Linked DNA regions of Mus musculus. The protein of the gene in region 4 interacts with the protein of the main gene of each other region in a pairwise test. Links are inferred from orthologs where the notes say so. Each region holds a gene or a part of one and is shown on either strand. Other genes may lie near its edges. The genes, in order: Slc25a46, Dcdc2b, Theg, Fhl3, Kirrel2, 1700007K13Rik and Sap30bp.

The links.
Region 1: the proteins of Fhl3 (region 4) and Slc25a46 interact in binary tests that used the Homo sapiens proteins (3 or more experiments, as listed by UniProt). The two-hybrid records come from large-scale screens. The link is inferred for Mus musculus from reciprocal best matches to the Homo sapiens genes FHL3 and SLC25A46.
Region 2: the proteins of Fhl3 (region 4) and Dcdc2b interact in binary tests that used the Homo sapiens proteins (3 or more experiments, as listed by UniProt). The two-hybrid records come from large-scale screens. The link is inferred for Mus musculus from reciprocal best matches to the Homo sapiens genes FHL3 and DCDC2B.
Region 3: the proteins of Fhl3 (region 4) and Theg interact in binary tests that used the Homo sapiens proteins (3 or more experiments, as listed by UniProt). The two-hybrid records come from large-scale screens. The link is inferred for Mus musculus from reciprocal best matches to the Homo sapiens genes FHL3 and SPMAP2.
Region 5: the proteins of Fhl3 (region 4) and Kirrel2 interact in binary tests that used the Homo sapiens proteins (3 or more experiments, as listed by UniProt). The two-hybrid records come from large-scale screens. The link is inferred for Mus musculus from reciprocal best matches to the Homo sapiens genes FHL3 and KIRREL2.
Region 6: the proteins of Fhl3 (region 4) and 1700007K13Rik interact in binary tests that used the Homo sapiens proteins (3 or more experiments, as listed by UniProt). The two-hybrid records come from large-scale screens. The link is inferred for Mus musculus from reciprocal best matches to the Homo sapiens genes FHL3 and PIERCE1.
Region 7: the proteins of Fhl3 (region 4) and Sap30bp interact in binary tests that used the Homo sapiens proteins (3 or more experiments, as listed by UniProt). The two-hybrid records come from large-scale screens. The link is inferred for Mus musculus from reciprocal best matches to the Homo sapiens genes FHL3 and SAP30BP.

Annotation. Positions count from the first base shown.
Region 1 is NC_000084.6:31,582,798-31,585,930, reverse strand, and holds part of Slc25a46 (solute carrier family 25 member 46), read left to right. Parts: intron 1-2,161; coding exon 2,162-2,740; 3' UTR 2,741-3,133. UniProt on the Homo sapiens protein: Transmembrane protein of the mitochondrial outer membrane that controls mitochondrial organization.
Region 2 is NC_000070.6:129,611,473-129,615,475, forward strand, and holds the start of Dcdc2b (doublecortin domain-containing protein 2B), read right to left. Parts: upstream 2,801-4,003; 5' UTR 2,786-2,800; coding exon 2,535-2,785; intron 349-2,534; coding exon of another isoform or gene 297-348; exon of another isoform or gene 1-296.
Region 3 is NC_000076.6:79,584,337-79,588,515, forward strand, and holds the start of Theg (testicular haploid expressed gene protein), read right to left. Parts: upstream 2,801-4,179; 5' UTR 2,731-2,800; coding exon 2,444-2,730; intron 2,015-2,443; coding exon 1,895-2,014; intron 1,640-1,894; coding exon 1,568-1,639; intron 1,119-1,567; coding exon 1,057-1,118; intron 425-1,056; coding exon 355-424; intron 1-354. UniProt on the Homo sapiens protein: May be involved (but not essential) in spermatogenesis.
Region 4 is NC_000070.6:124,699,373-124,703,498, reverse strand, and holds the start of Fhl3 (four and a half LIM domains protein 3), read right to left. Parts: upstream 2,801-4,126; 5' UTR 2,648-2,800; intron 103-2,647; exon of another isoform or gene 1-102. UniProt on the Homo sapiens protein: Recruited by SOX15 to FOXK1 promoters where it acts as a transcriptional coactivator of FOXK1.
Region 5 is NC_000073.6:30,447,516-30,451,015, forward strand, and holds the end of Kirrel2 (kin of IRRE-like protein 2 precursor), read right to left. Parts: intron 3,386-3,500; coding exon 3,287-3,385; intron 2,995-3,286; exon of another isoform or gene 2,964-2,994; coding exon 2,863-2,963; intron 2,388-2,862; coding exon 2,322-2,387; intron 940-2,321; coding exon 604-939; 3' UTR 251-603; downstream 1-250. UniProt on the Homo sapiens protein: May regulate basal insulin secretion.
Region 6 is NC_000068.7:28,463,525-28,467,534, forward strand, and holds the start of 1700007K13Rik (UPF0691 protein C9orf116 homolog), read right to left. Parts: upstream 2,801-4,010; 5' UTR 2,746-2,800; coding exon 2,510-2,745; intron 2,490-2,509; exon of another isoform or gene 2,427-2,489; intron 1,692-2,426; coding exon 1,613-1,691; intron 1-1,612. UniProt on the Homo sapiens protein: Microtubule inner protein involved in the attachment of outer dynein arms (ODAs) to dynein-decorated doublet microtubules (DMTs) in cilia axoneme, which is required for motile cilia beating.
Region 7 is NC_000077.6:115,961,159-115,964,658, forward strand, and holds part of Sap30bp (SAP30-binding protein), read left to right. Parts: intron 1-197; coding exon 198-258; intron 259-580; coding exon 581-632; intron 633-1,335; coding exon 1,336-1,394; intron 1,395-2,784; coding exon 2,785-2,869; intron 2,870-3,052; coding exon 3,053-3,234; 3' UTR 3,235-3,500. UniProt on the Homo sapiens protein: Plays a role in transcriptional repression by promoting histone deacetylase activity, leading to deacetylation of histone H3.

The DNA.
Region 1 (3,133 bases), on a different chromosome or scaffold from region 4:
AATATGGGTATGTTGTGGTCCCTGCATTGTTGATTTTTAGTGGTGGTGCTTGTGTTCACAGTATTATGTATTTTAATAATTATGACTTTGTATTTCTTTACACACTCTCCCTGCTATGCTGATTTTTCTATTCATCTTGGAATATAGCATCTTAGTTACTGTTTTATTGCTGCGAGGAAACAATATGACCAAGGCAACTTATAGAAGAAAGCCTTTAATTGAGGACTTTATTACAGTCTGAGAGGACTAGTCCATGATTCATATGGCAGGAAGCAAACAGGTCTGGCACTGGACCAATAGCTGAGAGCTTTTCATCCTGATTTGAGGGCAGCAGGCAGAGGGAGAAAAAGAGAATGAGCCCAGCCCACCCTCAGTGACACAGCTCCTCCAACAAGGCTACACATCCTAATCTTTCCTCAAAAGTTTCACCAACTGGGGGCAAAACATTCAAACATATATGTGCCTAAGGGGGTCATTCAAATCACCATATATTGATTTCTGTATTTTCTTTAGGTTTGGCTTATTGGATATCAATTTTTTGGATGTTCAGTTTATATCATAGAAAGTTTTCTTCAGTTATGACAGTTTTGCTGGGTATATTAGTATAGGTTGTCCATTATAATCTTTTAAGACTGGAAATGTGGAATGGATTGCTCCTGAGTCTTCTGGCTTTCAAAGTTCCCACTGAGTTGTTATTCTGATATAATTTTCTTTGTATGTAACTTGCTTTTTTTTTTTTTTCATGCAGCTTTCAATACACTTTCTTTGTTATACATTCTCTTAACTAATTTTCTTTTCTTCTGTATGTTTGGTATTCTGTATGCTTCTTGTATCTGTATGTGGATGTCTTTCTTTAGTTTGGGGGAAGTTTTCTTCTGTGATTTTGTTGAAGATCAGATCTATGTCTGTGACTTGTAATCTCTCTTTCATTTTTGCCTATAACTTGTAGGTTCATGGTGTTCCACATTTCTGGTATGTTCCTTCTCTGTGTTTAATTTTTTTTTTTAAATATTTTGCTTATTTGATCTAGATCCTGTGCTTTTTATCTTCAAGTCCTGATATTCTCTGTTCTATTTGATTTATTTTTTACTAATAAGAGTCTCCTAACTGCAGTTTGAGCCTTTTTCAGTGATTCTATCTCCTTATTGAATTCTGTTCTCAGGTCCTGGATTGTCTTAATCATTTCTGTCAGCTTTATGTTTGTGTTTCTTGGGCATCACTAAGGTGTTTATTCTCCTTAAGCTCTTTCTCCTCAGTTTCATTGAGTTGTTTCTTTGTGTCTTCTTTAAATTCTGAAGCCTTTGATGAATTTTATGATTATTCTTTTAAATTCTGAATCCTTGGGTTTACCTAGGTAATTTTCCTTTGCAAATATTAATATATGACCAGTAGGTTTTAGAAGATACTGGCTTGATCTTTCATATTTTGGAATTTTTGCAATGGGATCTGGTCATATAGACTTCTTTCCTTTGGTTAGTTCTAAGTCTGATATGGACTGAGTAGGTTGAGGTAAAAGCAGGGATGTCAGCACAGGTTTGTCCTAGAGGTTGTAAATGGTTTGGGTGGAAAAAGATCAGGACTCCTGTTGAAGGGACTGGGATGGTAGACAAAATGTGCTTCTTGGTCTAAGCCTGAAGTGTGGAGCTTGATGCACATGGGTGGAAAGGTTGGTCATGGCATGGAAGGGGGAATAGGTAAAAAAGAGTTGCATAGTTGGATGAGGAACCAAAGGGACTTGTAGGTGGTTGGTGGTAGAATATGTCCTGCTCATTGCTCTTTATGATATTTCTTTTGAAAAAGAATATGCTAATCTAATCTCACAGCTGAAGTTGGCAAATCATGGATGTTTTTCTTCTTTTGTGAATACATTTATCTCAAAGGGATATAATAACTATTTTCTACAGCAATTTTGTAAAAATTATTAAGTTGATGGGTCTGGAGAGAGCACTCAGTGGTAAAGAGTACTAATGACTCTTCTAGAGGACCAGGCTTCAGTTCTCATCATTTCAGTTCCAGGAAATCTCATGACCTCTTTTGGACCCTGCAGGCAGGGCACACACATGGTGCAAAGACATACATGGAGCAAAACAACCATATACATCAAACAAATAAATCTTTTTTAAAAAATATAATTGTACCTTTTTCATCACTTATGTTTCAGAGTGAGATAATCCGAGATAACACTGGCATTCTGGAATGTGTTAAAGAAGGAATTGGACGAGTGATAGGCTTGGGAGTGCCTCACAGCAAACGCCTTCTTCCACTGTTTTCATTGATCTTCCCAACAGTGCTGCATGGAGTTCTTCATTACATTATCAGCTCCATCATTCAGAAGATTGTCCTTCTAATTCTGAAGAGAAAGACCTATAACAGCCACCTAGCTGAGAGCACTAGCCCCATGCAGAATATGTTGGATGCCTATTTTCCAGAACTTATTGCGAACTTTGCTGCCAGCCTTTGTTCTGACGTTATACTTTACCCACTGGAAACAGTTCTGCATCGTCTTCATATTCAAGGAACACGCACAATTATTGACAACACAGACCTTGGCTACGAAGTACTTCCAATTAATACGCAGTATGAGGGAATGAGAGACTGTATAAATACCATAAAGCAGGAGGAAGGAGTGTTTGGTTTCTATAAAGGGTTTGGTGCTGTTATAATACAGTATACACTGCATGCAACCATCTTACAGATTACCAAAATGATTTACTCCACACTTCTTCAGAATAGCATTTGAGATTTAGGTTCTATGATTGGCTGAACCAAAAGATGTTGGATAATTTGCTATGACATTTCAAGTAATAAAAGTAAAAATACTGCGCGGAAAGAAATAGGCTGGGAATTACCACTGGTGGAAAACCTCATGCTAATTATTCTGACTTTTTATTTTTCTTAAGGCATAGATATATAGATATATAGATATATAATACTGGGTCAAACCTTTCCAAAATTGAAAACTCAATAAAGGTAATACTTTAAATTTAAAATGTAAAGTTACATTTTAGTATAACACTCATGCTGAAGTAAAATTGATCCTGGGGAGAAACAAAAAATGTATCAAGTATAAAATGAAATTGCAATGACTTGAATCTGTTTTACTGACCTTACTATTTGTTATGTTTGTTTAACT
Region 2 (4,003 bases), about 4.9 Mb from region 4:
CTTTCTGACAGGAGCATCTGTGCTTCCTGGGTCACATAACTCCTGTCTTCTGCCCTTGTGTCTTACCATTTACTTATTCCTTTGGGGACCATGGCCTGGAGATTACGTAAAAGACTGGGACTGAGCCAGGGATAGTGTCCTCAAGTCCCACAACCCAGGACAGCAGCAGGTTCTAGAGTGAGTGTGATGTGCCCCCTGAAATCACAACTCTTGCTGCTTCCAGAACCCTGTTCAAAATTCGAGCAGTCCCAGGGATGGGACGAGAGAGGCTACAGACAGTGGCCCCCCAGACTTACATGTTGTTGCCTAGTCTTTCCACCTGGGTGTTTCATTCCAGGAGGCAAATAGCTGAAAGGACAGATAGGTCCTAGGTCACCTTAAGAAAGTGTAAACCTTTGCCATCCAGGTTTATACCCATCAAAGCCAAGACTCTATCATCATCATGGCTGCTCTGCGGAGTCTATTCTGCAGGCTGACCTTTCCCTTGACAACTTTGCAATGGGTATGGTGGCATATGCCTTTAATTCTAGCACTCCTTTGACTAGGCATTGGTGGCACACACCTTTAACCTCAGATCTGGGAGGCAGAGGCAGGTGGATCTTTGTGTTCAAGGGCAGCCTGGTCTATGGAGTGAGAATTAGGACAGCCAAGGTTATATAGATAAGAACCTGTCTCAAAACAAAAACAGTCCTAGCACTCCAGAGGCAGTGGCAGGGGGATCTCTGAGCTTGAGAGCCGCCTGATCTACCTAGTGAGATCCAGGCTAGCCAGAGTTAGAAAGTGAGACTGAGATGGGAGGGTGGAATTTCCCCAGGTTAGCCTCTACTCTGAGTGTAGTGGAAGATGATCTTCAACTTCGGACCCTCCTACCTCTGTGTACCATGTGCGAGGATTATGGGCCTACAGTAGTTATTAGCCTGCCTCCAGATTCTTTCATTTGACCTCCTGCCCACCCGCCACAGCAAACAGTCATCTCTTCATACTTCTTCCTGGTACAGCTAAACATCTGACTCTCCCTTAGGCTGGGACTGTCCTCTGCAGGGTGAGGCAATCTTCCAGTAGCTTCCCAGCATCCTAAGCATCCCTCCTCACTGGAGCACTTTCTTTTTTTTTAAAGAAAGAATTATTATTATACATAAGTACACTGTAGCTGTCTTTAGATGTGCCAGAAGAGGGCATCAGATCTCATTACAGATCCACCATGTGGTTGCTGGGATTTGAACTCAGGACCTTCAGAAAAACAAACGGTGCTCTTAATCACTGAGCCATCTCACCAGCCCGAGCACTCTCTTTTTGAACCAGGAATGTAGATATCTGAGCCTGACTTAGGGTCTCTGAGTACCGAGTAAGGCTGTAAATTCAGGTGGACTTTAGGTACACCACGGTTGGAGGCCAAAGGCAAGCATGAAGTATCTTACTTTAGTCCAGAAATTCCCCAGTCATGCATGAGGTGACTTTTTTTTTTTTGTATAATAGTCAAAGAAGCGACTTTTTCAAGATTACACAGGAAGTGACTGAGTCCAGACACCTTGTTCCTTCCCTATAGTAAACTCCTCCACTGAGCTCTCAGAGCAGACGTGGAGGCTCAGGCTGAGTTGGAAGCTCTGATCTCACTGTTCTCCTGCTAAGGAAGACAGTCTCATCTTGCACAGTCTCATCTTGCAGAGATGACCCTAATCTAACAGGAGTTTCAGATGCTAAGTGGTAGGCACATTTAGTGTCTGGTGATGGTGGGGATTGCAGCAGCAGCTCAGGGCTGCAGACACAAAGCTATTTTGTTGCCAAGCCTGACCACCTTAGGGCCTACATGGAGGAAGAAAAGAACTGACTCTGGCAAGGTGTCCTGACCTGTGCACAAACCATAATGAATATTAGTACGCATACACACACACACACGTGCGCGTGCGCGAGGCTGGAGAGAGCTAAGCAGTTAAGAGTACTTACTGCTTGCTTTTCCAGAGGATGAGTTGATTCAGCACTCGGAAAGCAGAGGCAGGGAGTTGCAGGCCAGCTTGGTCTACAGAGGAAGTTCCAAGCCAACCAAGGCTATACAATGAGACCCTGCCTTAAAACAGATTTTGGGGGGAGGGGTTTATGAGAGAGTTTCTCTGTGTAGCCCTAGCTGTCTTGGAATGCACTCTATAGATCAGGATAGCCTCCAAATCAAAGATCCAACTACTTCTGCCTCCTGAATGCTAAGATAAAAGGTATGTGCCACCTACTGCCTAGCTTAAAAAAATGTAATTACTAAACAAAAAACACCCTTCAGAAAGATGTCCAACTTGCAGAATTGTCCCCACAGGTTTGTCCTGGCTGTGATGGACATACACCTTAGTAACAGAACTTAATCTGAGTTCCAGCTCAATTTATTTGTCTACATAGCCTCTGGCTAGTTTCTCAGTGTGATTCTGCACTCTGGTAGTGCAGTCTCTCCCCAGGCTTTGGAAAAACTAAGCCTGCTGACTTGAAGTACTAGATACACTATTATTCCCACCACTCTCTACAGGCACTTTAGCCAGCCCCAACCCACTCACTGGATCTTGTGGAATCGTTCAAAGCCAGCAGCCACATACTGTCCTCCGTTCTGTAGGTCAGCCAAGTTGGTAACAGGGTGGCCATCACTAAGTGTGTAGAGGACACGTACAGCCAGCGGGGCTTGCACAGCTGATGTCACCTCATAAAGCAAAGCCTCCATGGTGGGGTAGCGGCGTTGGGTCACCACCAGCTGGTGGCCTGGGAAGAAGGCATCCCCATTTCGATACACCAATATCCTCTTGGCTGCCATTGTATATCCTCACTCACAGACACAGAGCTGTTGCCAAGGAACTAAGAGTGGGCTGGGAGTTGTGCCAAAGGTAGAGTCCTGCCCTCTTATCCAGGAAGGCTGTGAGCCCCTTGCATGGGAGCATTTCCCTGACCTCAGGGCCTCAGGAGCAGGTTGGCGTGATCACTTTTTTGTTTTGCAAAGTTGGGATCAAACCCCAGCCCTTGTCCAGGGTGGTCTGATCACAGGATGAAAGGAAGACCTCGGGCCCTGTGAGAGGGAGATGTCCATCTTCTCCAGGGCTTGGGCTCCTTTGAACAGCTGAGACAGAGGGCAATTAGCCTGGAGCCTGTTACCCAAGGAGGATGGCTGACTTCTTGGCAGCCCTGCTCGCTGGTTCTGGGGATGATGGTCCAGGTCAGTGGGAGGTGACCCAGACAGCCCAGAATCTGTCCTGATCAGAGGCAGGAGATAAAAGAAGAAGGGCTAAGAACTTTCTAAAGCCTGGTCTGACATTCAGGTAACTGAGGAAAGCATCAAAGTATGGGGTGCGGATTGGGGTGGGGTCATCGCTAATAGCAGCCATAGAGGCCTCGATGACAGTGGTTGGCAATTTACAGGTCAGCTCTGCTGATGGAACAAAACTTAAATATCTGGGGCTGGCAAGAATGCCCAGCATGAAACTCAGACCTCTTAAGAGGCTGGTCAGAAAGAAAAGATAGAAAGGTCATGCACATCTACACACACATACACAAATACACACACATACACGCACACACACAATCTGGCTGGGCCTGACCACCTGTTTCGTCAATTTCACAAGTGCACATGAATACTTATATACATACACATATGCATGTACATATATATACATATATTTGTACATATATGTTTATACATAATATATATATTTATATTTGTTGGGTGGAGCAGAGCCCCAGCAGCCACACTTTTTTCTCAGCTTTTTTATACCTTCTTAGACAAAAGTTCTTTATAAAATTACCCACAGGTAAAAAGTTTACACAAATGGAGTTACAGAAGGATGTTGATAGTCAGTTCAAAGCAGTGCTTCGTTCTACAAGCTCATTATAAGTTCAAAGCAACAGTTTCCCATGGCCTTGCTTTATCCTAGTGCTCACCTGTGGCTTCATCCTTGGACCTGGCCTAGGATGAATGGTTTTCCTTGATCACAAATCTGTCCAAAGCCCATTTCTCTTTTTCCCACCACCCCCAGGATAG
Region 3 (4,179 bases), on a different chromosome or scaffold from region 4:
ATAGCATTAACACAGAACAGGGCTGCACATAGACACAGTGGTGGCACAGGTCCTGCCTCAGCCATCAGTGTATAGTAGAGACAGCAAAGGTTTGCCCAAGGGGCCCTTCAGAAAGCATGAATGCCCTTCAGGTCCGTCCTCTATAACCTGTGGTCACGAGTGCCAGTGTCACTCATGCTGATCAAAGTCAGGCTGATAGATCACCGGCGGGTGTCATCCCCTTGATCCCTGAGGTCAGACTGCTAAGGGACATTGGCTAGACCTCTTGAGACTCAGCAGCCAGAAGCAGGGCACATTAACCCCCTCTCAGAATGAAACAGGAAGAGGTTCTGCGCCTGGCCGCCCTCCCCCTACCTGTTATTGTTGTAATATTCCTGGTAGAACCGCTTGGGCCTCGAAAGCTCCTCCATGCGCTGGGACACCACTGGACAGAAATGACCTGGTCACCACAGCTACCCTAGGCCCCAGCAGGACCCACCCTCCACCCCAGGGTTCTACTCAGCCCTCCACAGGTCCAGGCACAGGGCACAGGCTAGAGACATGGGCAGACACTTGGCCAAAAGTGTCCCCAGCCACAGGCATAATACAACAGACAAGACTGGCTCCTTCCTCCCCATGGTTAAACCTAAGAGGCTCGTAAACTAGGTTTTTGTCTGAAGTTGGTGCTGGCCTAGGATTTCTAGGGTTGGGGCAGGGCATGGATGAGACTAGAGCCCCAAGAGAGGTCATCCTTGGCTACACTCATCCACAGAGGAGCTCTTGTTGGGGTCTTTATTTGAAGGAGTCTTTATGCTCAAAGAAGATGGATCCCATTTGGGAAGGAAGGCAGGATCTCTGTAATACAAATACTAGCCCTGCCCAGATTTGCCTTAGGGACTACCCTGAACCCATCTCCCTGCAATCCCACAGGGTTCCAGCCACTCAGAGAGGTGGGAAAGGACTGGAGTCCTGAGAGTGGCCTGGGAAGGTGGCTGGTAGCCACATACTGAGCAGAGCCAGCAGGCCCTGGACCAGGCAGAGGACACCCAGGCTGCCCCAGAGAGAGACAGAACCTACCAGGGACCGTGATGGTCAACGTGGTGTCCTCGATAAATCGCTCGGTCCAGTATACAGAAGGCCTGGAATACAGCCGAGCAGCTCAGGGCAGGGTGCCCTGTGCCCTGTGCCCAGTGCCCTGTCCTCTGCTAGGGAAGGGAAGCCTGAGGCCCTGGAACAATGGACAGGAGGCTGGGGAACCAGGAAGCACAGTCGGGGGAACAGAAGGTCAGGCTGGATTAGGGCAGCGAGCACCAGGGGAAACACAGATTATCTAGAGTGAGGCCCATGTTCCAAGATGGAGCACATGAAAAGGCCAAGTGCAGCCTGGAGAGCTGGGCCCCTCAGGTACACAGACACAGCCCAGCAGGCCTAATGCACAGCAGGAAGACAGAGGCAGGACAGCCCTAGCTCTAGAGCCCTCCACCCCTGCAACTTGGTCCCTGGAGAGAAGGCAGCTCAGGTGTATCCTTGGAGCTTGGCATGTCCCTGACATGGACAGGTGACAGAGGGAGGGGACACCCCAACTCACCAATACAGGCAGAACTGCAAGTTGGTCTTGCGTGGGGAAATCCAGGCATAGCCCTTACAACAGCGCCCCGTCCTGCGATGAGACAGGGTCCCAGGCCCTGCCTTTGCCTCTGGGTCCCCACTGGCTCCCAGATTCCTCACTGTCCTCTGGGTACCACCCAAGGGTCCCACCTCTGGTGCCTTGCCTGGTGCCTCCCAACAGTCCATTTATTCTCTACGTGTCCTGCCCAAGGTGCCACAGGGGTGATGGGCTGGTGTCCGGGTGTCAGAAGAGCACAGCAGGCTAGGTCACCTACTACCTCACCACCTCATGGGCCCCAGCCCTCACCTGTCTCTCAGACATTGCCAGTTGGTCTTAGGCTTCGCCAGCTCCAGCAGCCTCCGGCTCCTCTTTTTCCTGCCCTTGGCTGTGGAGACACTGGGAGTCCGCTCAGTGATGGACAGATGGCTGCAAAAGAATGTGGCATCAGGGCCTGCTGGTCCACCCTGACGTGTCTTGGAGCTTACAGAGCAGTCTTGCTCCCCTACCAGGAGCCTCCGGTCAGCTCTGAGCCCCTGGAGCAGTGGACACTGGGTGTGTTTGCTGTCACCCAGGCCCCACACTGTCCAGAAACTGAGCCCTGAGCCCACGGAACCAGAAGTAGCCAGCTCCCACCTCCTGGGGCTGTTGGGAGAATAAACACGACATTCACTTCTCTCCCTAGTGTTTATTGAGGACCTGGAGGAGGACAGAGCTACGAGTAGCGTCCCTTGCCTCTGGGAAGCTGGGGGTGGGGGGGTCTCCAAGGGGAAGGACAACGAAGGTGTCCAGGATAGACTGGTGTGTTAGCATCTGCCTCCTTGGCACCTACCTGCCCACTGGGTCCCCAACACCCACCTCATTTCAACCACTTCCACCTCCAGGTCTTGTTGAAGAGGACCATCCAGATTGGAGGTCTCCGGGAGCTCTTCCCCAGCCATCTCCTCTGGGGGGATTTCCTCCTCTGGTTCTTCTGAGGTTCGCCCTGTAGTGGCCTTAGAGCCCTGCAACCAATGGCTCCCAAATGGCTCGCTCTCAAGGTCCAAATTGCCATTGTTCTGTCCCTGCTTTAACTCTCCCAAAGTCTTGACCTCCGGGATTGGGTTACTGAGCAAACTGGCCCGGTGTTCACCAAGTTCCCCCATGTGTACTGCCCCTCCTAACCCTTTAACCTCACTCCCTCCCTCAGCACCCAAATGGACCTATGGTTGCCACAGCAACAGAAGAATGCCCACCCATGGATTCCGAGGCCCCATTCCATCCCAGTGTTGGAGCTAAGTCTGAGGTGCACAGCTCAGGACTCCACCCTTCGTGTCTTTCTTTTGGAGTGGGAGACAAGAGGCGACAGGGTCTCACTATGTAGCCCAGGCTGGCCTCAACCTCCTGAGTGCCGAGATGACCCATCTGTGCTGGACTTCAGAGTTGAGCCTGGCTTCAGTTCTCACAGAAGGGTGTGCCCCTCCAGTGGGTGGGTTTATGGACTCCACAGGGATTTCTGGGCAGAATTTTTTCTTTTCCCTTTAAAAGAGCCACAAGAAAGAAACCACATCTCTGCTTCCTGGTTATGATTGGGCTTATCTTTAATGTCTGTTGCTCAAGCAGCCATTCTGTGACCACAGGGCCTGTTAATCTGATGGCAGGTGAGCTTCCAAACATAGCACCCTCATAGATGGCTCTGGCTTTCTACTTCTTCCTCTGGTAGCTGACTCTCAGGTCCTCACAGCTCAGGGTCCTATGACACATGCAGACTCTGCCCTGAATTATATAAGGAAGTACCTTCCGAATATACCACCTTGCATCTTACAATGAGATGATGGCTGTGACAGAGGGCACTGCCAACACACCCCCATTTCCAGCCTGAGCACGTGGGGAGCTGATAGAACAGAGGACCGTGACCCCCATACCATGGCTGGAGAGACTCCATCTCTACTCTCACTGCTTTTACAAGAGTAGGATTGAGATGAGGTCATGGAGGCAAGTGGAAGGGGCAGAGTCCCAGAGACCAGGGCGATGAGGAAGTAATACCTTTCCAAAGCTCACAGCTAAGGGGCCAGATGCAGGGTGATACCCAACCTCTGACACGTGCTGGCTAACCTTGACTGTCATCTGAGACCAGCCTGGCTGGAAGGATTAAAGGGAGACCTTCCCCCAGAGTGGCCAGTACTTTCCAATATCTGCTCAGCTATAGTAAAGTCTAAGGGGAAGGCCGTGTTGCCTCCTGGCCTTTGCTTCTTGCTGGTGAGTGTGTATACTCTATTGTCACCTCCACTGCTGCCACCTTCCTTCACTGATATCAGAACCCAGATTTTTTTTCAACTTTCCAGGGTGGACTGAAGACCAGTGGTTCTCTAGGAACCCTCAGGCCTTCAGTGACAGATTGGGACTGCTAAGGTATCCAGCCTTATAGACTAAACAGTTGCCAGGTAGTCAGCTGCTGCACAGGGTAGGCAGTCACTACTGGACTAGGCAACCCATATCCTCCTGAGAGCCAATCTAATAAATGCCTTCCCTTCTGATATCCTGGAGAGCCCTGGCTAACACATGAAAGGTGGTGGAACTAGAGCCATTGCGGACCCCAGGGACTACGGAGGTAC
Region 4 (4,126 bases):
TCCCAGTCCCTATGTCTCTAATGAGGACAGAGTGAAGGGCACCAAGGCCCACTTGTCTCCTATCTCCTCCCAACCCCCCTTCCCCCCACAATGCCTGGCAAGGCTGGGGGACTAAAAGGGTGAGCTAGGAGACAGTTTGTATTCCTGGGAGCAGGTGGGGGGTGGGGGAGTGAGGGGGCTGGAGGGGTGGGGAGGTGAAGGGGTAGAGGAGTGGGGGGGTAGGAGGGTGTGGTTTAGAGAAGACAGTGGCTCTTCCAAATGACCCCAATCTGCTATTTCCACGAACACACATTATCTCCATACCTGACTTAAGTAAGACAGACAGACAGACAGACAGACAGACAGACACACACACACACACACACACACACACACACACACACACACACACACACAGGGCTGGAGAGATGGCTCAGCAGCTAAGAGCACTGACTGCTCTTCCAGAGGTCCTGAGTTCAAATCCCAGCAACCACATGGTGGCTCACAATCGCCCGTAATGAAATCTGATGCCCTCTTCTGGTGTGTCTGAAGTCAGCTACAGTGTACTTAAGATATAATAAATAAATATTAAAAAAAAAAAGACACACACACACACACACACACACAGAGTGAACTTCTCAGAGCTGAGTGGCAGGATATCTTTCTGTATGGTGTCCAGTGGATAACAGCTTGCTTGAGTCACAAAAAATACACCTGACTTGAAATCCTGTGACCTTGGGTATACAGTTTTCATTCCCTGAGAGTATAGGTGCAACCAGTTAAATGAGATACTATTACTACCTCCCTCTCCTAGGACAGCTGTCAAGCTAAAATGTGATAATCCCCATGACAGCTTCTGTAATAAGTCTGTAGTAAACGCTAATCACTGTAAGTAAACGCTAGTCACTTGTATTTTTACAACAAGCCCCTCAACTCCTACTGGAGCCAAACAGTGGTAGTCTCAGGTAGGCCCGAAGCAAGAGTTAACCTGGGATGTGACCTTGGGAGTCTTAGTGAAGTCTGAGGGAACCACTGGTACACATCGTAAGCTCTAGCCCAGCCAGTGGGATACCAGGGTGGGGTGGGGGGGACTTTAAAGACCTTAGAGATGGTTAGTTCCCAGGAGCACATACTTGCTAGATTCCTTGTCATCTACAAAATACACACCCCACGACCACTGCATCTCAGCTTACGAAAAGGAAGGACAGAGTATAGGTCCCCTTTAGAGCTCAGTACAAGATACCAGGGGCAGGCTAGGGGCATGGCCAAGGCTGTTCAGCAATTGGAGCAGAAGTGTCCTATCCATCAGAGGGGAACTCTGCCTAGAAATGCTTTGGTAGTGGTGGAAGGGGCAGTCATCCTTTGGGGGGGAGGGAGGGCGAACAGGAGATACACTAGAGCTGGCTGTCTTCCCCGGCTGCCAGCCTGCCATTGGAAGACACCCAGAAGTCTTTCCAATTACCCATGCCAACTGCTCAACCCTTTAGTATATCCCCCTTCCCCGCCTCCCGCAACCCCCCCCCCCCGCCCATCCCAAGTCCAGGAGGACCCTGGCCAGACCCCACAGCTGTAACTCAGAGAAGACCCCTCCCCCTTGACAAGAGACTTAGGGGAGAAATTAGAGCCCCCCCCCAACCAGGCACCAATCCCAAACTCTCCACTGCCCCTCTTCCCCACAGGGCCTGGAAGTCAAAGCAGTTTAGGGCGAAGGGAGCAGATCCTGCAGCTGCTCCGAGAACAGGAGAGGGACATTTCATTCACCCCAGAGTCCCCTAGGGCTGAAGCAGAGCGTCCAAGATTTGAGTTTAAAAATAAGTTGGCGCTGTCTTAGTGGCTGTGTGTGTATGGGGCTCTCTCTCTCTCTTCAGCTCAGCTTTACAGCCTCAGGTCCTCTGCCTCCTGGGGGATGGGCTGGCTAAGAGTCAATTTCCCCCTAGCCTTGCCTCCACCCTTTCAAGCCTGGGGCAGCTGTCAGTGAACACACTAGGTGTCTCTCCTCAGCGAACTCTAGCCTCCACTCCGTACCTCTCAGTACCCTTGAGCTTAGTCAGTACCCGTCTTTGTGTTTGGGTGAAGGTGTTCCTGTATCTCTGGAGCTGTGTCCCAGTAGGGCCTCCACTCTGGGGATCTCTATCCCTGTTCATATCCAAGTCTTGGTCTCTCTCGACGTCTCTATGTCTCTGACCTGAGAGTCTCTTTAGGCCTCCGGGAGGCAGATTTAGCGCTAGTCTAACAAGCTCCAGCCTCGGGGCCCTCCAAGGCCCTGGGAAGGGTGCTAGCAATGAGTTCCCTGGGGCCATACATTTGCTTCTTAAAATGCTCCCCAGAACCCGGGTCCCCGCCGTGCCTCGAGAAGTTCATCCGGCCATTCTCTGCCCTCGTTGGAGTGGTCCCGGTAGCCTCCTGGGGCGCGCGTCCTTGTCTGTTCTACCAGGCTCCCTAAGAGCCTCAGTTTCTCCAACCCTGCTGATCTCTGTAGCTTTTCTAGTTCAAACTTGGTCCCCACCCCTTGCAACTCTGGCGGTCCCCGCCCGGCCGGGAGGCGCGGAGCGGTGGGGTCCGTGCAGGCGCGTGGGGTCCCGAATTCGGGATGCCCCAGCAGAAGACAGGGGTGAGGGGCCCAGAGAGCGACCCTGGTCCGAGCGCAGCTGGGGCGGGGGACTCTCACCTCGAAGCGGGCGCGGGAGCTGGGCGCGCGCGGCGTGGGTGGGGCGGGAGCCGATCGCCCGGCGGCTCCTACCTGTGGGCCAGGCGGAGGGGGGCCGAGAGAGCAGCGGCGAGGTAGCCGGCTGCGACTGACTGTGTGGGCGAGTGGGCGCGCGGCCCTAAGCCTCCGAGGAAGTGCTCGGGCCCGCCCCGCCCGGACCCCGCCCCCGGGCCCCCAACCCGCCCGCAAGGGCCAGACCCCGCCCCCTCCTGCCTGCGGCGAGCCCAGCCCAGTCGAACCTGGTGCTCTGACCTCCTCGACCACTCCTTGCTCGCCCCCTGCAGCTTAACCCGCCTCCTGCGCCCTTCGGACCCCGGGGGACGGCTGGAAGCGATCTCAGGCCAGGGGTGCAGAGCTCCTAGGACTAGCTAGAGTCCATCTGGAGACCAGACCTCCCTTCCTCTTTTCCCTCTAGCTCATCCCCAGATGTTACACTAAACCTTAGCTTGGGAAGGAGGCCTTAATCCAGCCGGCTGGAGGCGTGGTTTTGATTCTGCCTTACCAGCGGAGATCAAGGTTTTTTTTTTTTTTCTAGAAACTTGGGCTAAAGAGAGCGAGCCTTTATCCTCCTCAATTTCAAAGGGCTTTATTCTATAAGCGACTGGCGAAAGCACAGGCAACAACCTCCCCATCCTCAACTGTGCCCTGGCACTGAGGTTTCTATAGTGCCCAGGAATAGTTTTGACCTTTGAGGCTCAGGGAGACCCTAATCCTCGGCCTCCCTGGCTTTGGGTTTCTCGAGAGGGTGTGTGAACAGTGCGAGTGGTTGGTGCAGGCAGGGGTGGTTAAGAAGGGAGGGAACTTGTGCAGTTTTTGATCCTCCAGCTTCTACCCTATTCCGGGAAGGGAGGACTAGTGTCTGCCAGGGACACGAGGCCCATCCAGGTCCTTGAGGCCACCCCCCTTGGGATCCTCAGGCTTGTCACTAGGAATAAATAGCCTTGATCTGGAGGGCGGGGTGGGGGTGGGGGAGCTCTGTTGTGCTGTTTGCAAAACAAGAGACAACAAACTAACCCTGGTAATAACCTTTGCGTCTCGGGGATGATTCAGATGTCCAGAGAGGCCCCCCCTAATTCAAGGCTGCATCCAGCCTTGCTAGCATTTTGGGGATTAAGACCCTTCAAGGCTGGTGTGGCGCCTTCCCTTCTGTATCAGGGGTCTGGTTGCTAGGTCCTAAGACAGCCTCTAGGCCAGGTTTTCTTTCAGAGTTAAAGGATTGCTTAAATGTTGTTGATTCTTAAATTGCAAATGCCACGAGGGCAGAGGTTGGGTCGGTTTTTTTTTTTTTTTTTTTTCACTACTGCATTCCCAGTATCTACTCCAGTGTTTGACCTGCAGTAAATGAGGGATGAATGTCACACACTGCTTTCATTTGGACCCCCTGCCACTCCCTGCCAGGCACCTACTATCAGACAGTCTGAGGGTGAGCCCTTCCTCTGG
Region 5 (3,500 bases), on a different chromosome or scaffold from region 4:
CTTTCACAAGCACATTTGCGTCTTTGCCTCCCCCTTTTATTATTAAACATAAGTATTCTTAGCCCAAGAGTCCCCTTCATTTCTTCTATTTCCACCCTACCCCATTCCTTGGATTCAATTCTTTCTGTATCTTTAAGGAAGGAGTCAAGATAGTGGCCATTTTGGTTCCCAGATAATGAACAGCCATGTAGGCTATACTTATTGGCCAGGACGCGGTGGGGGGGGGGGTGTGGATTATTTCTTTCATCTTGATTTGTCTTATGTTATCCTTTCTCTTGATGCAGATGGTCATATATCTTCTCTACTACTTCCATCCATATCCCTAGTTCCCATCTTTGTCCCTCTGCAAAGTATTTAGTCATTTAGTCACCATCTTGAATGTCTTTCTCATGGGAAAGCGGCCATATTGCTCCCACTTGGAGAATCCACTTTGGCTGAACTGAGTGTACACCAACAGTCCTGATGCTTGTAATGATCTTTCCCTCCTTCAATGTTCAGTTTTGGAGGGGTTGGTCATCAACTTGTTCTGACTCCCCAGAAATCTGGACAACACACTATATGGCAAACAGAAGATTCCAAGACCCTTCACTTGGAGAGATGGATTCACACATGAGTCTGGAGACGCTGGTGGCTGGGTGGAGACAAGGTAGCATACGGGAAGGGGGGAGTTCCAGAGCTCAATTCTGGGGGTCCAAAGGATGTGGGTTTCATGTAGCTGGTGAAGGCACGGGGATGGGGGGTGGTAAGATAACCTGCCCTCGCTCTGTACAGTCTGCAGGGAGGGACTAAGTCCAGATGTGGCTTGAAGTCATAGTAAGTAGGAGTCCCTGGGAGACCGATCGGAGAGGGCGGTGGCAAGAAGAGGCCTCCTCCAGGAGCTTCCCCAAGGCTAAGGCTCACACTGACCCCTCGAACCCTGTAGTAACCGTTGGTTGGATCCTGAGGAACAAATGAGACTTGGTAAGGAATGTGTGTAGAGAGGTAAGGATCATGGGTGGAAAGACACACAGAGCTACAGCTAGATCTAGAGATAGGCATGGAGGCAGAAAGCCAAAGAGCAGAGCCAGAGACTCACAGACAGAGAGCTATAGACCAGCATGGAGATGGTGGCGTGGTGCTGGCTTCCTAGAACAAGTGAGGTCAGACTGAAATTGGGGAGGAAGGAAGATGAGGATGGGAGAGGGAGGGAGGGAGGGAGGGAGGGAGGGCGAAAGGAAGAGTGGCTTTCAGGTCAAGAGAAAAACACACTTAAGTATAGACAAGAAAGTTTTAGCTAGGATTAGGGATGTAATTCGGTCAGTAGAGCACTTGTCTAGCTTGCTCAAGGCCCTTGGTTTGATTCCCAGTACTACACAGAGTCAATGTGGAGGCACAAGCCTTTAATCCCAGCACTTGGGAGGACAGCCAGGAGCTTATGATCAATCCTGGCTACAGACTCCATTTGAGGCCCTCCTGGGATGCTCGAGAGTCTGTCCGAAGGAAAAGTCAGGACGGGGGGGGGGGGGGGTTTAGAATGGGAACCAGGGCTGAAATCAATGTGTCTGTCCTAAGACAGAATTCCAAAGTAGGGATGTCTTTGAGGGTAGGGTGGGACATCGTGAAAGGATGTCTGGAAGGTAGCAGCTGAACAAAGAGAGACTTAGAGGCATAAAACATGGCAGATGGGGAAAGAAGAATCCAAGGCAAAATGAATCAACAACAGAAGCTGATGTTGCAGCTGGTGAGCTGGCCCAGGAGGTGAGAGTGCAGTTAAAGGCAGGTCTTTTTGGGGGGGGGGGGTGAGGGAGGCTAATGACAAGGCTTCTCTGTGTATCCCTGGCTGTCCTTCCACCATATCATAATCAACTCAGGTCATAAAGCTTGGCAAATGCCTTTACCTGATGACCCATCTCTCCCTCACTTGTTTGCCCTTTTGATTCAGTTTTATTATATTATATTATATTATATTATATTATATTATATTATATTATATATTATTTGTTAGTTTGTTTATTAATTTATCTTTATTGAGACAGGGTCTCTCTGAGTAGCCTGGCTGTCCTGAAACTCACTCTGTAGACCAGGTTGGCCTGTCACTCAAAGATCCTCTTGCCTCTGCAAAGGCCTGTCCCACCACCGCCCGGCAAAGGTCTTAAGGTGATGGAGTTAAAAGGAGAAGAGAAGCAGAGAAGCTGCCAAATGTGTTCAGGTCTGAAGCTTGCAACCGCAGCAATCCAGTGGCTGGCTTCAGGAGAAAGACTGTGCAGCGTCCAAAGCCAGCTACAGGGAGACCCTGTCTCCATAGAGCTGTTCTGGGAGTGAGCTCCTCCCCCAACACTCACCTTTGTCTCCAGAGCCTCTTTTTCCTCAAGAACCAAATCACTGTGGTCGGTGTGCACAATGGGACCCTGGAATGGGGGTGGGGTATAGTGATAAGCCATGGTCAGAAGATCATCTGATCTATCCCTCTGCCAGTTCCTAGTCTTTCATGGCCTTCTTAGAGAAGAGAGCTGAAGGCTAGACTTAACAACAAGGAAGGCTGTGAGAGCACATTGAGCCACAAGGATAACTGTGGAGAAACACACTTGCAATTGTGAGGATACTGTGGATCTGGGGTCATCATGTTTAAGACTGGGGCCAAGCTGGTTATAATGGTACATGCCTTTACTCTCAGCACTCAGGAAGCAGTGGCAGGAGGATATCTAATTTGGAAGCCAGCCTGGTCTACATAGCTAGTTCCAGAACAGCCAGGGCTACATAGAAAAACCCTGATTCAAACAACAACAAAAAGCCTAGGGCCATACTTGAGTTTGAGGGTGGGTTGGACTGGGTTATTATGTTGGTCTGGGAGTACATTGGGAATGTGGAGGCCCAGAATCTTACCCGGTCCTCACTGCTGCCTGTCTCCTCCTCAGGGCCACGTGAACTGGAACCCTCGCTGCTTCCTGGGATCCGGACCAAGTTCTTTTGCTTAGAGAGAGAGCCTGAGGCCCAGGACGTGAGAGGCATTCATTGGTAAGGGGGAAGTGACCAGTACGTAAAACAGAGCTAACTGAACAAAGTGTGCTACAAAGGTTGGGAACCATGGAGAACTCCAGCCTGGGAGAGATGGGACGGAGCTGGGGTGACCCTGAGGAAACTGAGCAGGACTAGGGATAAGATGAGCCCATGCAAGCATTGGGAGCCAGGAATTGGAGCCAGGTCCCAAGGCTGTCAGTCAAGGGTGTCAATCAAGGGGATGGGCCTGGACAGGGGATGGAGAGGAGTAGGGTTGGGACTGAGGCAAGTTCAAGGCACTGATACTTGCCATGGCGCCAGCAGCAGAGGACCACTCCAGTGATGACCATAAGGAGAGAGGTGGCTGCAGATGCTGCACCAGCCACAATCCGGACAGTAGGCAGCAAGTCTATAGGGAGCAGATGGGGTGTGTACAGTGGGCAGCAAGTCTGTAGGGAGCAGATGGTGTGTATACAGTGTGGGCAGCTAGCCTGTAGGGAGCAGATGGGGTGTGTACAGTGGGC
Region 6 (4,010 bases), on a different chromosome or scaffold from region 4:
TTTCTCTGTGTAGTCCTGGCTGTCCTGAAACTCACTCTGTAGACCAGGCTGGCCTCAAACTCAGAAATCCACCTGCCTCTGCCTCCCAAGTGCTGGGATTAAAGTCATGTGCCACCACTTCCCGGCAGCACTCAGTTCTTGCTGAGTGTGGCCACTGTGAGTCCGGGAACTCCAGTGATGACAGGGGGACATGTGGTGTGTGCAGACCAACCTCCACCAGGTAGTAGTGTCCTACCTGTCCTCAGACCACCCTGGGCCAAGATCACCTGATGTTTTCTCTCTTTGGCAGGAAAAGCAAAGAGAAATTATTTCAGGCATTTTTCAAGAGGCAAATTTGAGATCTCCTGGGAAACTGAACATAAAATATAGTGTCCAAGTCCGGGTGTGGTAGAGCATGCCTTTAACCCCAGCACTTGGAAGGCAGAGTCAGGCGGATCTCTGTGAGTTTGAGGCCAGCCTGGTCTACAAAAAGAGTTCAAGGACAGCCAAGGATGTTACTTACACAGAGAACTCCTGTCTCTGAGAAAAAAAAAAAAAAAAAAAAAAAAAAGTGTCCAAATACCATTCCAATGCACACAGCTCCCCCTATTGTCTGCATGGTGTATTGCAGGTGGAGCTGATGGCCAATACCTGAGCTGTGCACTGAGCACTGGGGCCTGCCCGCTCTTGGCTCTGCACAGTCAATGCATTCTGACAGTCCATAATAATAAATATCCACCAGTGCCGTAGCTGACAGAATAATACTAAGAGTTGCTCACAGGGTGCAGTGGACTGAGTCAGAAAGCTGACAAGTCAACCCCAGAGAACAGGACTAAGAAGCACGGAATACCTACCCCCTAGCTTGCCTCTGATACCCGCGGCTTGTGGCCCATGACCTGCTAACCTGGGTGAAAGCACCACTGTTGAAAAGAGCAGCTTCTTCTCCGTGGCCTTTTACAAAGGCAGAACAGAAACCAGGGGTGTGGCTCAGTGGACAGATCACCACGTCTAACGTCTGCAAAGCCCTGGCACTGCACATCTTTTAAGCCAGCACTTTCGAGGTGCAGGCAGTTCAAAGCTTTGAACTGATTCAGAACTAGCCCTGGCTAACTTGAGACCAAAGGCACTTATTACCAAGCCTGGTGAAAGGAGAACCAGCTCTTACACGTGGCCCTCTGACCTCCAACCACGTGTGGCATGGCGTACCCCCACACAGAGACAAGGCGAATGTATTTAAGAAGGTATGGGCAGCAGTTCCCATGTTCCTGCTTCCCACAGAAACACCTTGCGTCTGATTTTGGAACACAGACTCTTTCCGTGGACAGGCTCTTCCGAGGAGTTCTGCCACTCGTATGAACGCTTGACTTCACTAATTGGCCTTCGAGTGCCCGGGCAAAGGTGTGCGTGCCTGTCTGATGGGGAGGAGAACGTGGAAGCAAGTTTACTTGGACTTTCCTGTCTACAATCTATTCTGCTTTGAAATTGCATTCTATCATCTCTCTGCCCCGCCTTGTCCTAACTCGATTTGAGGTGCCATGCATTTACAACGTGGGACGCTGATTCCCAACTCTGACTCCTCATAAGTCTGCTTTTCCAGATGGCCCTCGTCCTGGCAGGCCTGGCTTGCACTTACTGGCATCTCATGCACCGTGGGGGCTCTGCTTCCGTAGGTTTGGTTACTGGTCCTGTACATGGAAACAGCTTCCTTGGTCCTGTGGGAGAGAGATGCACTGTTTCTCACACATACTCAGAATAAGTCAGCCAGGTCATAGCCTGGAAGAATTTGATTGATGGAACTTTATTGTCCCTGACGGTGGCAATACCATGTCCACGGGGCTCCCACTGAGAGCACTCTCTCCCAGCAGACCTTTCTCTCTGGCCTCCTCTGCTGGCCATGGCCCCTGATCTTTCCAAAGGGAAACCCTAGAGAACACCCAGCCAGCAAATGCTGGCGGAGGGGTCTTGGTGGGACTTTGGCACAGACTACCACTGCCAGGTATGTAAGCTACCTCGGAGACAGCGTCTCAACTTCCAGACCCTGGAAGTCCCTCTGCTTTTGAGCCCCAACCTTACAGAGGCCAAGCTCCTGTCAGGAGGGAAGGAGGTAAGAAATCTAGTTTGTGAGACTGTGGCCTGTGATAGAGGCTACCAGCCGCTCTTCTTCACACCCGAGGCCTCAGCAAGTTGTCTTCTTACTCGTGGAAAGGGAGTGTGCCTGCACCAGCTTCACACAAGTCAAGAAGGTTTCCATCCTTACTTCCCCGAAAACCAGGCTGCCCTGTAAGGTGTACAGCTTTCAGGGAAGCTTTAAAAATAGAGACATCCCCTGCCTGCAACAAGGCTATATTCACACACGTTCACTCTGTGGTTGCTCAGACAGCAGGACCCTAACAGTAATGATGACACAAATAAAGGTTCATGACTGGCTCCTTTTGACCTCAGTAGCCACAGCCACTTGAGAGTTCTCAAACACATGGCCAAAGCTAGGGCCGCCCTGCTGCATGAAGAAGGTAACCTCAGTCTTCCTTACCCGTAGCCATGAAACCACCCCGGGTTGTTGAACCTGACTGGGAGCTTCTCGCTAATGCGGTAGTAGTCGCTGGTCTTCTCTGGGGCAGGCTTAGCCTTGGGCTCCCCCGGCTCCGGCTCCTCTGGGGCAGGCTTAGCCTTGGGCTCCCCCGGCTCCGGCTCCTCTGGGGCGGGCTTAGCCTTGGGCTCCCCCGGCTCCGGCTCCTCCGCGGACTGTTGAGGTTTTTCTTCAGACATTTGGCCTCCCGCAGGAAACTAGCCCAGATCAAGTCTGTGCCTGCTGCGGCAAGGCGTCCTGTTGCTAGGCAATGAAGTCACCTGATCAGGAGGTGGGGCGGTCTTTTGTAGGTTGCTTTGGCTAGCAGCTAGCTGTAGGCAAGTCTAGAATCTTCCCGAGGGCGAATAACAAAGGAGACCGTAAGTTCTAAACAAGGAATTCCAAGCTTCCACACGCTGCTCCTCAGGGAGATCCGCTGACCTTTTTCTGGGACTGTGGGAACATCCTTGTATCGTCCCAAAATGCACTAGGAGGCAGATCCTGGACGAATGAAACCTTAGAACCTGGGATTTCACCAGCCAATAGGCAGGAATTAGGTGCTTCCAATCTCTGCCTGAGCAAGTACAAGTCTGTCGTTTACTGTCCTGGCCATGGCCTCTATCACCCAATACCCCCACAACTCAGCCTAAATCTAGATGTGAGGTGCTGCTAAATTTAGGGAATCCTAGGCCATATATTGGTGAAATATAAAAAATGATCTTGTGAACCATGCACATAGTTCAGCATTAATGACGTGCTAGCGCAATGCCAGGAGGCAGATCTCTGAGTTCGAGGCCAGCCTGATTTAAAAAGAGAGTACTAGACCAGTCAGGAGTATATAGTGAAACCCTGTCTTAACAACAATAATAAAAATAAATAGTAATTTTAAAACAAACAATAAAAAATTACTTAGGGCACAGTGTGGTGGTGTGCACCAATAATTCCAACACCCAGGGGACAGAGGCAGTCAGATCTCTATGAATGTCTGGCCAGTCAGGGAGATTGTTGTTGTTGTTGTTGCTGTCATCGTCGTCGTCATCATTGTCAATGTCATCGTTGTTGTCGTCATAGTTTAATGTAATTTGGGGATGGAGAGATGGCTCAGCAATTTAGGGCATTCATTGCTCTTGTAGGGAACCTGGATTCAACTCCCAGAGCCTACAAGGTGACTCATAAACACTTTTAACTCTAGTTCCTGGAGGTCAGACACCTGCTCTCCACAGGGACAAGGCACTCACAAGGTACACATACATACATGTAGGCAAAAAATAAGTAAAACTAAAACAAATGTTAAAAAATAAAAAAAATGCATGCTGGAGCGACGACTCAGCAGTTAAGAGCACTGACTGCTCTTCCACAGGTCCTGAGTTCAATTTCCAGCAACCACATGGTGGCTCACGACCATCTGTAATGGGATCTGATGCCCTCTTCTGGTGTGTCTGAAGATAGTCACAGTGTATTCATA
Region 7 (3,500 bases), on a different chromosome or scaffold from region 4:
CCTCTCTGAGGAGGGTGCAGAGCAGACATGAGGAGGAGACAGGCGTCCCATCTGGAGGCTGCTGTGTTGGTAGAAGTGAGCTGGGTTTAGAGGCTTCATCTCTTTGTCATTGTTCGCAGAGCCAGTGGTTCTAGTTCCATACAGGAATATGGGACCAGTACCGAACCTGCTCATGGATTCTTCTGTTCCCTTTTCAGCATCTACGAGAAACTGATCCAGTTCTGTGCCATTGATGAGCTGGGCACCAACTACCCAAAGGTATGTCCTATACTCAGAGCCCGGAGAGCGGTGGAGCTTGCTGTAGTGAGTGTGACTGCACGCCATAGAAGGTCCACGGAGCAGCACTGCTGGAAGTCTCAGGGTCCTAACCAGTTAGAAGCCAGGAGTGGGCCCACTGCCCCTGCCACCAGCTGAGCTCATTCTCTGTTCTTAGGAGCTTCCTGGTTCTGGGCCTGGTGGTCAGGGAGCCAGCTGAAGCCCTGTGCCTTCAAAAGGGCCGGGGCCCTGCCCTAGGAAGCTCCGTGTCTGGGCCCTGTGCACTGATGGTCGCTCTGACTGCAACTTAACCTTCTCTTTCCAGGATATGTTCGATCCCCACGGCTGGTCTGAAGACTCCTACTATGAGGCATTAGGTAACCTGTTAGCTCTCTGTATCTACTCATCCACACACCCATCCGTCTGTCCATCCAGTCAGTGACTTAGGTGACCATAACTTAGGGTCTCTATGCCAGGCAGTGCCCACAGGGCTGAATTAACCTGAGCAAAGTGTGGTACAGCCGGAAACCTTTGACCTGGCCAAAGGACTGGGGAGGCCCTGTTGAGGAGACTGTTAGAGCTAAGATTTGGAGAGGCCCAGGGGCTAGAATGCTCGAGGCAGAGGACGTGTGTGTTCTAAGGCCAGTGACCACAGCTCAGAGAACTGGGAGTAATTTCAGAGCCTGAGCCTGTAAGTCCCCGTCACAAGCCAGAAGCTTGTGATCCAAGCCCTGGCTCCTTAGTGCACGTATGTGTGGCCCTTACAAGTTTTGCCTTATTTTGAGTTAGTTACCAGTATTTTTATTTACAATAAAAGTCTGCATCTGAGTTTCTTAGTAGGACGGTAGTTCCCACTGTTAAGGTCAGGAGCAGCCTACCCTTCCCTAGGATTGCGGCCCCTGTGACAGAGCCTTGGTCCAGGCCCATGGTCCATGCTGACCAGGGCCTAGCACCTGATCCTGCCAAGTGCAGAAGGTTGCTGAGCCCGTGTACACCTCTAGGCCAGTATAAAGAGTGCAAGGTCAAGGCAGTGACCTCCCCAGTCATACACTGCTCATAGCAGCCTGTCTGTCCCCACAGCCAAGGCCCAGAAGATTGAAATGGACAAATTAGAAAAGGCCAAAAAGGAGCGAACCAAAGTAAGTGATGCCCCTGGGGTGGACATGGTGTGTGGGGGAGGGATGGATGGGGGAGGGGGGCTTCTGTGGGGTGGGCTGTGGGGGGATGGTCTGGGGGTGTAGACTGTGTGGGGGTGGAGGTGCTGTGTGGGGTGGTCTGCGGGGGGTAGAATGGACTGCTGGGGGTGTGGACTGTATGTAGCGTGGACTGCTGTGGGGTGCACAGGTCCTGCTGGCAGAGTGGAAGAATCAGGCTTCCCAGGCTCCCTTCACCCTGCTCTTCATTGTCTAGTGAGGCTTTGAGCCGCCTTGGCCATGGCCTCTGTGATGAGCAGATGGCTGTGCCCAACCCCTGACTCAGCTATAGAAATCTCCACTGCTCAGTTGTGGAAGACTCAGCGTTCCCTGCATCCTGCCCTTCCTTCCTTATCCCCCTTTGCAGAGCCCTGGTGGCTTTGTCTCTTAGAGTTCTTTGATGCCTCCCCAGCCTGATCAGAAGTTGGTCTTCCTTCTGAGAGTCCCACATAAGCTGCCACGTTGGACACCAAGCGCCACTTATGTAGCAGTGTCATCAGAGGGACTCTTTCAGGAGCTTCAGATCCCCAGACTGTTAGCTGGACATCAGGACACCTCCTCCTCCTGTGTGTAGGGCTGAATTCCTCCCAGCAGCTGTGACCCACAAGATACTCCCTCTCCTGCAGGCTGCGGGCTGCAAGGCCGGGTGTGCTGCTGGCCCTCTCTGAGGGCTTTGTAGCCAAGAATGTGGGAGGGGTGGGAGGGAAGAAGCTAGGTTTCTTGTCCTTTTTAAAAATTTACGTATGTATTTTATGTATATGAGTGCTCTATTTGCATGTATGCCTGTGTGACAAAAGAGGGCAGTCAGATCTCATTATAGATGGTTGTGAGCCACCATGTGGGTGCTGGGACTGAACTCTGGAAAAGAACCGGTGCTCTTAACCATTGAGCTGTCTCTCCAGCCCCAAGTTTCTCATTCTTAACCGTTAAGCGAATCTCCTCCCTTCTTGCTCTTTCCTCCTCCCTCCAAACCCCAGCTTTATTGAAGGTCTGGAGACCACACCTGTCCTTGTCCTGTGCAGTAGTATCACTTCCTCCGGGTGTGAGGAGGAGGAGAGGCCTGGCACCTGGCTTAGGGGGACAGTGGGCAGGGGTGCCAGGTATTGCAGTAACTTGTGCTGCTGGGAGGGATCCCACATCTGTTGGGAAAGTTCTTGCAAGAGTGATGAAAGCCCCTCAGGCATCTCCCCCTCTCCCCGGTGCTCCCAGCCAAGATGGGTTTCAGGGCCTCTTGTGTGTAATGCCAAACTCCTGTGCCCTGGGAGCAGACAGACGGACAACACAGGAAATGGACACGCGCCTCTGCAGTGGTCTCATTGTCCTCTCTCCCCTCCAGATTGAGTTTGTAACGGGCACCAAGAAAGGCACCACGACCAATGCCACGGCCACCAGCACCAGTACTGCCAGCACAGCTGTCGCAGGTACAGGCTGCTCGTCCCGTCCCCTGCACTGCCTCGGGGCCTCCGGGTAGAGCAGGGCGTTCCTGGGTCTGTCTAGAGAGGGTCTGTGCCAAGCTCGCTCCCCTCTGGGGTCCTGGACCTAAGCCTGCCTCTGGGTCCTGTTGGTTGGTGCTGATCTTGACCCATCTCTTGTGTCACCTCTAGATGCCCAGAAGAGGAAGAGCAAGTGGGACTCTGCCATCCCCGTGACGACAATAGCACAGCCCACCATCCTCACCACCACAGCCACCCTGCCAGCAGTGGTCACTGTCACCACTAGTGCCAGTGGCTCCAAGACCACCGTCATCTCTGCTGTGGGCACCATCGTGAAGAAGGCCAAGCAGTGACCAGAGGATGCCCCAGGACTGGCAGTGACCAGAGGATACCCCAGGCCTGGCAGGACTACAGTCCAGTAGCTTCCACCCACTGGGAGGTGCCACTCTGTGTGTTTAGGACTGAGATGCACTCCCCACATGCCTTCCAAGAGGAGCCTCTGTGACATTCCAGCCGGAAGGACATTACAGCAGAGGCAATGGTGTGCACTGGACAGGGTTTGTCCAGACACCTCTTGGGTTTCACCCAATTAAAAGTACTGCTTCTTGGATCCTGGCAT